Linked DNA regions of Canis lupus familiaris. The protein of the gene in region 3 interacts with the protein of the main gene of each other region in a biochemical or structural test. Links are inferred from orthologs where the notes say so. Each region holds a gene or a part of one and is shown on either strand. Other genes may lie near its edges.

Evidence for each region.
Region 1: the proteins of UBC (region 3) and CAPN15 form a complex in vitro, tested with the Homo sapiens proteins (3 studies listed by BioGRID). The link is inferred for Canis lupus familiaris from reciprocal best matches to the Homo sapiens genes UBC and CAPN15.
Region 2: the proteins of UBC (region 3) and DTX2 form a complex in vitro, tested with the Homo sapiens proteins (2 studies listed by BioGRID, with this or other methods). The link is inferred for Canis lupus familiaris from reciprocal best matches to the Homo sapiens genes UBC and DTX2.

The regions. Positions count from the first base shown.
Region 1 is NC_049227.1:40,481,794-40,485,607, reverse strand, and holds the start of CAPN15 (calpain-15), read left to right. Parts: upstream 1-1,536; 5' UTR 1,537-1,664; intron 1,665-3,814.
Region 2 is NC_049227.1:7,551,822-7,555,535, reverse strand, and holds part of DTX2 (probable E3 ubiquitin-protein ligase DTX2), read right to left. Parts: intron 2,239-3,714; coding exon 2,165-2,238; intron 778-2,164; coding exon 619-777; intron 1-618. UniProt on the Homo sapiens protein: Regulator of Notch signaling, a signaling pathway involved in cell-cell communications that regulates a broad spectrum of cell-fate determinations.
Region 3 is NC_049247.1:5,228,743-5,232,342, reverse strand, and holds the start of UBC (polyubiquitin-C), read right to left. Parts: upstream 2,298-3,600; 5' UTR 2,139-2,297; intron 1,317-2,138; 5' UTR 1,314-1,316; coding exon 1-1,313.

The DNA.
Region 1 (3,814 bases), on a different chromosome or scaffold from region 3:
AGCACCGGGGTGGACGTGCAGGCGCTGCGTCCTGGTCCCGCCGTCGCACTTGGGCAGCTCCCCTGCGATGGAGTGGGCTTCGTCCGCACCTCCCGGTGGCCAGGCTGCGGGACGGGCGTGGACGGCGCTGCAGGGCAGGAGGAGAGTGGGTTGGCCGCTGCCGCTCAGCGGTGCTCGTGCGTCTGCGAGGCGTCGGCCGCAGCTTCCTGCTCCCGCGCCACCGCGGCCCAGACCTGAGGCCGGACTTCCTCCTCGCACGCCAGCGGCCCCCGGCATCCCAGCTTCCCCTACAAGTCGCCCTTTGGAATCAGATTCATCTTGGAAGCCCAGGGCCGCCTGCCCTGTGTCCATTTGACAGGAGGGGTGGCGCGTGCTGCAGCCCTGCCATCCCGGAGACGTGGCTGCAGAGGCCTGAGTCCCAGGGCCTGGGCCGCACGGCTTCCCAGCCTCCGCCTTCCTCCCTTGGGGTGAGCTGAAGGCTCGGAGGCCCTTGCCCCCCTGAGGCTGTGCTGCCGGTGAGGCCGGAGGTCGCCAGGCTGCCCGGGCTGAGGCTGCGTCTGCCACCGGCAAACACAGAAGTGCCCGAAGTGAGAACGCATCTGGCACCTCTTGTTTCTCCGTAGATGATATGTGTCGTTAAACGGTACCAAACTCATGAAGTCAGAAACCGAAATCCAGAGAATGTCCCTGTTCCTCTGCAAGTGCTGTTTTGGAGAATTTGATTAATTTTCTGTGTGGTGCGCAAAGTGACGTGTGACTCTGCAGAAGTTTAAGGACGCGCAGCGACCCGGCCCCCTCCCGTGTGGGCAGCCCGGGCACCTAGTGTGCATCCGGTTCAGGGGCTCGTACCCCCACCCCCACCCCGGGAAGCAGGTGCCTCGGAATGTACCGCAGACCCTGCCTGTCCCCTGCTGGTTGTTTCCCAGCTGCATCAGGAGGTGTCCAGAGGCGCCCCCAGGTGCCCAGCTGCACGGCGAGGAGCCCCAACTGCTGTCCCAGTGCTGGCTGCCCGGACCTGTGAGGACGTCGGTCCCTGGCACGGGGGAGAGTCCAGAAATGCTGAGAAGAGTGGCCAGCACCCGCAGTGCGCTCGGGGAGCGGCTCCTGGTCAGGAGGGCGGGGGTGAGGACAGAGGACGGCTCCTCCCAGGAGGAGCTAGTGACCCGTCCACGCCCGCGGCTTTGCTCCCAGGCCTGGCTGGCTCCAGGCACGCAGCTGGGGCCCCTGGCCTCCGTGTTGCTTGAGGGCCCCGGTGAGCCGGTGGAGGCGGCCCCCGCGCTGCGGAGCCCAGTGCCCTGTTCTGAGCCGAAGGAGCAGAGGGCACTGCGAGCGCCCGTGCCCACCAGGTGCTGGTGCTCTGAGGACAAAGCTGCGGGGCTGGGGGCAGCGGTGCCTCCTTGAGGGGAGCGGCCAGCGATGCCCGGATCTGAGTCCAGGTGACTCGTTTAGCGGCCTGGCTGGCTGCTTGCCTGGAGCCCGGCCCGCTTGGTACCTCTGGGGAAGGTGGGCAGAGCCGGGCTGGCGGAGGCCCCGGCCCCTGGGCCCTGGATCATCAACAGTCCCCTGCTGTGCGGCAGCCCGGCTGGGGAGGTCGGGGTTCCAAACTAGGCAGCGAGGTGCTGGCTCAGCCTCCCGGCTTCTCCGGAGCCACCAGCCTCCTCTGGGTAAGGCACAGATGCAGCTTCTGAAGGGCCACCAGCCACGGGGACACTCCCAGGTGCCCGAGGGTCGTCCCTTGTCCAGGTCCACGTGTCCGGAGATGGGGTGACCCATGTGGCCCTGGCCTGGGGGTGGAGGCAGAGCCAGACCGAGTGCCTGATTGGCACGCTCCGGTGGACCCTGGGCTCGTGCTGATAAGCCTGAGGGTGGGTCTGCAGGGCCAGAGTCCAGAATCTTCTGGGCAGGGGAGTGCCCTCCCGGTGGGTGTGCCCTTGGCTAAGCTGCTGTCGCGGAGCCTGCCTTCTGCGAGGGGAGGGCCCCTTCCCAAGTGCTGCGGTGTGACCAGGCCGGTCGTGGGGTGGCAGGGCTCGAGCGCAGCGTGGGCATCCCCGACAACGGCTGGTGCCCTCGGGCCCCCTTGAGTATGGGGCCCAAGCCTGCGGTCCTGTCTGTGCAGGACGGGCTGCGGAGCAGGTGCGTCTGCCGCGCGCCTTTGGTGTTTCTTCCCCCGAAGCACCCGCGCAGGCCTGATGGCCCATCCCTGTTGCACCCTGCCCGTCCGGGGGGCAGGTGGGGCTGGGGGTGGCAGGAAGGTCGAAGTGCCTGGCTTCACTCTGGCCGGCCCCGCCTGTCCTCGGGCTCGTGGCTGGCCTTCTGGGGGGTGGCCACCAGGTGCAGGGAGCAGCAGTGTTCTGGGGTGCCCCCCAGCAGGCCGCTATCCGTCATCCCTCCCCTGTGCCCCTGCCTTGGGGCTGACCTGGGGGTTGCTGCAGTTCGTGAGGACGGGGAGATTTGAGGAGGCTTGTCCTGGGCCGGGTGGGCAGTCGCGGACTTGGGACACCATGTTCACCGCCTCCCCCGGGAGCCATAGGGCGGCATGGGGAGTGCGCGCAGTGGGACGTGGTTGTGGGGGCCGCCCGGAAGAGGCATCACTAAGCAGCACGCATCGGTGCAGGGCTCGGACCATTGGACTCTGGGGCCCCGGGGCATGGGAAGAGCGGGACATAAACACCCCTGCTCGGGCTCCTGGTCCCCTCCACTGCCTTACTTGCTCACGGGCTGCTGACTCCTGCCGGCCATCGCTTTGCCCCGGTCCTTGCCCTGGCAAAGTCTCCCTGGGCAGAAGCAGCTCGCCTGCATCCCTGCACTGCGGCACCCCGCCCCTGCTCCCCCCACCCCGTGCTGGGGCCCGCAGGGGCAGGGGGGAGCAGGTGGGCTCGGGTGATGGGTCCTGCCGTGACCGAAGCAGGTGCTCCCCGCACGGGGTCGTAAAGAGGGGTTGTCTTCTTGGGGTGTCGTGCTAGGCACGTGCCCCACCCCAGGCGGGGGGCAGGACGGCGGCCCCACCTCCATGGCTGCCTGAGGCCAGATCTAGGCCACTGCCCCGTTTAAATGTAGGGCAGGGACTCCTGAACGAGAGCAGGGAGGACCAGTGCGGCACCCTGTCGCGGAGCACCCGCCCGTCCGCATGATACAGCATGCGGGAGGCTGGCGTCCCCACGGCGTGCGCTCCGGCTTCTGCCCGGAGAGACGCACTCTGCTTCATTCTTCAAGGCACAGCAGCCAGACGGGCGCCCTGAGGGGCAGCCTGCAAACATCGTCGGTCACCTGGCGCGCGCTGGACGCCAGGCTGTTTCCCAGGCAGGCGGAGATGCACAGGGGGTGGGTGTTGCACCCGGCACCTGCCGGCCTGGCCCGCGCCCGTGCCCCCGCCCGGAGAGTGAGGCCGCGCGGGCTGCTTTGCCCACCCAGCAGGCCCCGTGGGGGAAGGGCGGTGGGACGCTTGTCACCTGGAATCGGGGTTTCCTCTGCCCCTCGGGAGGTCCTCGCCTGAGCTTCGTATCAGGTTCCGAGGCCTGGGGAGCAGGCTGTGTGAACGCCCCCTGTGCTGCGTTACGGCGACATGGAGCTGGGACGAGAGCCAGGGACTGGCCCCAGGCAGCGTGGGGCTGCTCAGCCAGGGTACTCCACCAGGGGCTCCTACTCCCACGTCCTCTCCCCACCCCCAGACGTCGGGGTGCCGTCATCCCTGAAGACCCCGAGACAGGCCCTCCTGTGCCAGCGGCTCTTGGGGAGAGCCCTTCCAGCCGTCAGGGAGACGGACCCGGGCTGCCAGCCTGTAGCCCACCCTGGAGGCCGCCCACCTGCCTGGCAG
Region 2 (3,714 bases), on a different chromosome or scaffold from region 3:
CCTGCGTGGAGCCTGCTTCTCCCTCTGCCTGTGTCTCTGCCTCTCTCTCTCTCTGCTTCTCATAAATAAATGGATAAAATCTTTAAAAAAAATAAAATAAAATCTTAAGAAAGAAAGAAAAGAAACCCAATCCTCACGGCTTCCCTGGAAAGATGTTCTACTAGGAGACTGGCATCAAGTAGGCAAATCAGGTTTATGCACAGAAGAATCTATGGTCTGACAGGTTTCAAATCAAACAAAAAACCCTGTGACCTATCACTGCTGGTGCTGGCACCCTGGCTGGTTCAGAGAGCACAGGGATACTTCAGGGAGAGGAAGCCAGGCCCAATGGTCTGCCACATGACTCAGGTCTTTCTCTCTGTCCTCCTAACCTCCGTCCACTCTGGTTAAACTCCCCTGCAGAATGGCACCCAGGTGTCACTTGCCACCCTCAGCCCCCCAGTGGCCAACCTCTTTTCTGCTGCAGGCCAAGGCCTGCCGACATCTCAAGGCTGCCTCCTAGGGTGTCCTGGGCCCTCTGCAGGGCAGCGGCAGTCAGTCAGATGCAGCAGGACCAGGGCAGGCCCATGGGCAGGTCACCCGGGCCCCCCGCCCATCCCAGGGACAGAGGTGTGGCACCTTGTTCCCATTGCAGTACATAGCCAGCAGACACAGCAGGTGGAAGGCATGGCTGCACTTGGCAAGGCGGCCCACTGCCACTGGCCCAATGGTCTTGCTGTGGGTCACGTCGCTGTACCCGGACACCACGGACAGTTTCTCCATACAGATGATGCAGTCCTGGAAGGAGACCAGCACAGGGCATGCTCACCAACAGCTTGCTGAGCCACAGGCGTGGAGGTATTCTTAATAGGAAAAGGCCTTCCTCTGCTGAAACACCAGGATTCTGGGCAGTCTGGTAGTCAGCTGTCCCAGAGGCTGGAAAGACCGGTGAGTCACCAGGATCTGTGCCCTCAAAGGGCTCACCACAGTCAAGGGGAAAACAGACAACCACAAGCACAGGCCACACAGAGGCAGGGAAAGGGGAAAGAACAGGCAGGCTGAGAGGCGAGGCCCTTGAAGTGGGGTATCACAAGGAAAAAAGGACAAGGTGAGCAAGGATGGGAATACACAGTCCAAGGAAAGTGCAGAGAATGTCGTGAAGCAGGAACCAGCAGAGTCTGGGAACAGCAGTGGCAGCCACCGGGGCCGAGGGGTAAGTAGGGTATAAAAAGCCAGACGGGACAGGACCAGGTCCCCGAAGGTTCTGATGGCCACACTCAGGAGCTGGGCTTTGTCTCACACGTCAGGGGCCTTGTAGAGGAGTTTTAAGGTTGGGGGTACCAGCACAATCACAACTGTGTGTAAGCTGAGTGGCAGCTTGGAGGACAGGAGGCTGGCATGGAGCAGCCCAGGTATGGCAGGGCCACAAGGGCAAAGACAAGGACACTGATGTGGGCGCTGTCAGGTGGGAGCATAGACAGGGCTGGAGGGATGGTGGGAGACACAAGGATGGCCTCCAGGTTACTGAACCTTTTTCACCCAGAGCTGCAGGAGAGTCCTGCACAGGCAGAGTATGTGGTTCTGTACTGGCGTAACTACCCTTTAACCCATGACTCCCACCCACCACCCTCAGAGTCCTTGGAGCTCTCCATTCAAATCAGAGACCAGTGGCACTGTAGACCCCAAAACACGGCTCAGCACAGAGGATCGGGTCCTATTGAAACTGCTATGAGGGTCTGCAGGCCCTGTAATTACAGGAAGGCTAACCAGCTCTCCCAATAGCCAGAGGGGCAGGGCTGCTTTGGGGACAAAGTCACTACTTTTCCCCAGCTCGGTCCTCGGGGAATGGGCAGGCTCTCCCATCCCTTGTCTCCAGGACCCTCCAAGGCCCCAGAGTGGCACAGGAAGAGGGCTACACAGAGGCCCGTGTAGGAGCCTTGCTCAGAACTACAGCTCATCAGCAGCAAAGCTAAAACCAGAATGCAGGCCCCTGAAGCCAGATCACCTCCTCCTGGTAAGGCCTGCCTCCCGTGGGAGGCTGGGTGATTAAACCCGAGTACCCGAAACAAGGCCGGAACCTTAGGGAAGTACCCACTCAGCAGAGAAAGGCCAGTATCTTTCACCTCAGGAGCCACCCCTTGCCTCCAAACAAAACCAGAGGCAGCGTGGCTCCTGTGACACATACCTCATCTGAGGCCATTTTCAGCTCTTCCGTATATTTTTTTATCACCTGTTCTGGCTCTGGCTTTGGAGTCCCTCCTAGAAGAGAAAGGAACATCAGCGGTGTCCCAAGGGGTATGAACTGGAGATGCTGAATCCAGAGAGAAGGAGGACAAGGGAGAGGCCCAAGCTGCCAGGAGGGACGTTTAGAGGGGCCAAGACGGGAGGACTGAGTGTGCGAGAGGAGAGACATGACACTAGTGCAGACACTCAGAGCTCTGCCTAACAGAGCCCTATCCGGTCCACCCGCTGGAGGCCCGATCCCAGAAGCCCTGGAGGCAGCTGGATGAGGACCAGAGACAGCTGCTGTTCATAGCCCTCAGGAGTCACAGACTGGGCCTCCTCCACACATCCCCACACACTTCGGTCAGGAGGCTCTTCAGAGGATGCACAGAAAAGTCAAACAGCAGCTGCTAAAACAAACTACTCTGGAGCAGGTTTTGGCAGCGCTGTTTCACTCAACTGCCACTACTCTCGTGAGAAAGCCGAGGCAAAAGTAGTTCCAGGGGCTGAACATGCAGCGGCAGACATCTGTGCGCACGCCACCTGCAGACAATGCCACACAGACACGGTCACCACAAATCACAGGTTTCTCTCTCCTGGCCCTGGGCTGTGAGGTTTCAGTGACACACCAAGCCTGGGAAGGAGCCAAGACGCAGCAGGAAGTGTATTCTGGCCACCTCCTCCTCGGTGCGCACACACACTCGAAACCAGGAGGGGCGGCCCTGCACCTCCATCAACGTTGAGCCTGACACCACATCAGCCCCCCATACCCCCAAAACGAGAAACTCCCCCAGTTGGTGAGAGAATTGGCCAGGCCCGGGTCTTCTCCAGCCAGAGGCAGTGGCAGAATGACAGAGAATGCAGCAAAGCCGTGCGGGAGCAGAAAGGGGGGCCTGGGGAGACCAGTGCAGCCGGGAAAGGCCCTGGCAGGGCTCTTCTTCCCGCTTTGGGTCGCAGGGCAGGTCCTGCTTCTAGCCTCTGACCCCAGAAGGACCCTGGTTTGAACCCAAGCTCATAGCCACTGGCTACAAAGACATACAAGCCCGAGGGCTCCACAGCCAAGTGCCCTCAAAACTAGAGAAGGCCTGGGTGCGGCTGGGAGCAGGCAACGTCAGGGGTGATTCTGGCCACCCTGGGACCAAAGCACATCACCGGAATCTCAGTTCTTCACCTAATGGAGACCTCATCCTGACCCAAACTATGACTGTGGTGAGGGCATGAAGTGCGATTATCTGAGAGGCAGCTACGGGCAAAAGAATACCATCCCCCCTTCCACAAACGTATCCCCCACCCCCTCACTCACGCACCCCTCCTCATCCACATACATAAATGTCCCCACACTCCCTTCACATGCGCACCCCATTCATTCCCATACAAACGTATCCCCCACCCCCCCACACACACCTGACACCCCCGTCACACATGCACCCCACATTCCCATACATGCAAACCCTCCCTCAAATACAGACCCATACACACAGATTTCTAGGCCCCTGACAGTCACTGGTGAGA
Region 3 (3,600 bases):
TCGGACAGGGTGCGCCCATCTTCCAGCTGTTTGCCGGCAAAGATCAACCTCTGCTGGTCAGGGGGGATGCCCTCCTTGTCCTGGATCTTCGCCTTGACGTTCTCGATGGTGTCACTGGGCTCCACCTCCAGGGTGATGGTCTTACCCGTCAAGGTCTTCACGAAGATCTGCATGCCCCCCCTGAGGCGAAGGACCAGGTGCAGAGTGGACTCCTTCTGGATGTTGTAGTCGGACAGGGTGCGCCCATCTTCCAGCTGTTTGCCAGCAAAGATCAACCTCTGCTGGTCAGGGGGGATGCCCTCCTTGTCCTGGATCTTCGCCTTGACGTTCTCGATGGTGTCACTGGGCTCCACCTCCAGGGTGATGGTCTTACCCGTCAAGGTCTTCACGAAGATCTGCATGCCCCCCCTGAGGCGAAGGACCAGGTGCAGAGTGGACTCCTTCTGGATGTTGTAGTCGGACAGGGTGCGCCCATCTTCCAGCTGTTTGCCGGCAAAGATCAACCTCTGCTGGTCAGGGGGGATGCCCTCCTTGTCCTGGATCTTCGCCTTGACGTTCTCGATGGTGTCACTGGGCTCCACCTCCAGGGTGATGGTCTTACCCGTCAAAGTCTTCACGAAGATCTGCATGCCCCCCCTGAGGCGAAGGACCAGGTGCAGAGTGGACTCCTTCTGGATGTTGTAGTCGGACAGGGTGCGCCCATCTTCCAGCTGTTTGCCGGCAAAGATCAACCTCTGCTGGTCAGGGGGGATGCCCTCCTTGTCCTGGATCTTCGCCTTGACGTTCTCGATGGTGTCACTGGGCTCCACCTCCAGGGTGATGGTCTTACCCGTCAAGGTCTTCACGAAGATCTGCATGCCCCCCCTGAGGCGAAGGACCAGGTGCAGAGTGGACTCCTTCTGGATGTTGTAGTCGGACAGGGTGCGCCCATCTTCCAGCTGTTTGCCGGCAAAGATCAACCTCTGCTGGTCAGGGGGGATGCCCTCCTTGTCCTGGATCTTCGCCTTGACGTTCTCGATGGTGTCACTGGGCTCCACCTCCAGGGTGATGGTCTTACCCGTCAAGGTCTTCACGAAGATCTGCATGCCCCCCCTGAGGCGAAGGACCAGGTGCAGAGTGGACTCCTTCTGGATGTTGTAGTCGGACAGGGTGCGCCCATCTTCCAGCTGTTTGCCAGCAAAGATCAACCTCTGCTGGTCAGGGGGGATGCCCTCCTTGTCCTGGATCTTCGCCTTGACGTTCTCGATGGTGTCACTGGGCTCCACCTCCAGGGTGATGGTCTTACCCGTCAAAGTCTTCACGAAGATCTGCATTGTCTGTCACAAAAAAACCCAAAAAAACAAAAAAAACAATCCGGAGTGTAACAGACCACTCACATGTGAATAGAACGCTAACAGTTACTGGTCATTTTACACTAACCCAAGAACTAAAATAAACCTCGCCAAAAAACCTAAGGCGAAGAAACAGGACAGGTTTTGGAAACTCAAATAAGCTCCAAAACCAAGTTCCAGGCCCCAGGAGGAGAGAAAGCATGGATACCGGTCAAGTGAAGGCGCCGGCTTCCGTATCTTCCCCTCCCCCCTCAGTGATGTCTGGACCGGACAATCCGCAGGATCTCCCCTCCCCCGCCCCGCCTAACCCTTGTGCCCCGCGACTGACCCAAGCCGGCTCCACACACAGGAACACGCGGCCCCACCCCGGATTGTTAGCTGACAAAGCGATGACATCACATGACCGACGCGACGAGCGGGCCCCCTCCCCCCAAACGGGCGCAGGACTGCTCCGGCACTTCGGGCCCACTCGCCGCGACCGGACACGGAGCGTGGCGCCAGCGGGGCCGCGGAGCACACAGGGGCTTCCCGCCCCCACTCACTGCGCAGAGGGCCCCGTCAGGGCCCCACTGGCTCGGCGCGTCTCGCCCGCTCACAGCCATCCCGTCTCCCGGGCTCCTCACGGCCCCTCGCACCTCGGCTTCTCCCCGCACAGGAGCCGTAGCGGACGCCATTTTGCTGCGCCCCCCCCCCCAAGAGTAACCGCGCTCCGGCGCCGCGGGCAACTCCCCGGGCAGCCGGCTGCCCGGCCCCCCGCCCCTGCAGGGCCCCAAGACCCCCAGGCCCGCGCAGCGGCCCGCTCCTCACCAAGCGGCTGTGACAGAAGCGCACGGAGACGAACAACCGACCTCCCGGCCTCCACGGAACTGCCTGCGCCACGCCCGGCGCCTCCTTATATAACAATCGGCCGCGCCGCTCCGGCGGATCCCTGCGCAGAAACGCCGAGAAGGGACTACTTTTCACCGTCTTCCTGGCCTCCAGGGAGAAAACCACTGCCCCAGAATCTTCTAGGAGCCCCCGGAAACGTCGACCTGTCAAGGCTGGGCTGTAGGGCTGAATCTGGCGAGGAGAGGGCCGCGGTCCCGAGCGCCCGCGCGGAGGGATCAGCGCGCCCGTTGAGTGCTGCGTCCGCGGACGTGGCCGGCGCCGGATGCGAGGGGGGAGGGGGGAGGGGGCGAGCGCGGAGAACAGGGCCCGCGGGAGACGGGAAAACCCGGCGCGGAATCGCCGGGCGTCCGGGGCGAGCTGCCCCTGCCGCGGGACCCAGACACCCCTTCCCCTCGGCCGCAGCGGTCCCCGCGGCTCTCGAGACCCGCCCTGGGCGGAGAGGGGTTGGGCGTCGTGGTCCCTCGCCCCTCCGCGACCGCAGGGGTCCTCGCGCCGGGGCCTGCGGCCCGCCCATCCCCCCGCGCGGGCGCGGACAGGACGGATGACTCGACAGATCGCGGCGCGGGGCGGGAGGTGGGCCCGGGCTGGGCTGGGGCAGCGGGGGAGCAGGGGGTGCGGGACGGCCGAAGGCTAGAAGGGGGCGCAGAAACCCCGCACGCTTTGCCCGCACCTATTCGAGAGGCGTCTGGAAGTCCACCGAACTTTCTAGAATGTCCTTTGGCCTTCCTGTACCACCTACGCCGCCTTGTACTAGATACACACACGGAGGCATCTGGTGGACACTCAGTGGAGCTCAGACGTACAACTTCCTTAGGCCTGGGGTCTCAGAAACACAAGTCCAATCCCAGGCCTGTACATTCGTGGGCGGGGGGGGGGGGGACACAATTTAATATCCCAAATACAAAATTTGGGGCACCTGGGTGACTCAGTGGTTGAGTGCCTTTGGCTCGGGGCGTGACCCCGGGGTCCTGGGATCCAGTCCTGTGTTGAGGTCCCCGCAGGGAGCCTGCTTCTCCCTCTGCCTGTGTCTCTGTTTCTGATGTCTCATGAATAAAGATCTTTTTTTTTTTTTAATAAAGATCTTTAATAAATAATTTAATTACATTGAATTCTATGGCAAAATTCCATTTGAATAAAAGGAGAAAGACTGAAAAATAAAATACCTGAATATGGTGAAAACTTAAAAAGTTTCTGGAAGTTTACAGAGAAAAGTCCTTCACATGCTCAATCCCCCAGCCACTGTCTCTTCTGGAGCTATTCTCTGTTTCAGTGTGGAGGGGGGAAAGATCTTTTCATTTCACCCTCAAAGCTTTCAAGAAAAAAACAAATAGGAAAAGTTGCCTAAACAATGTTCTGCGGTTAAAAAAAGACTCATTCCTGT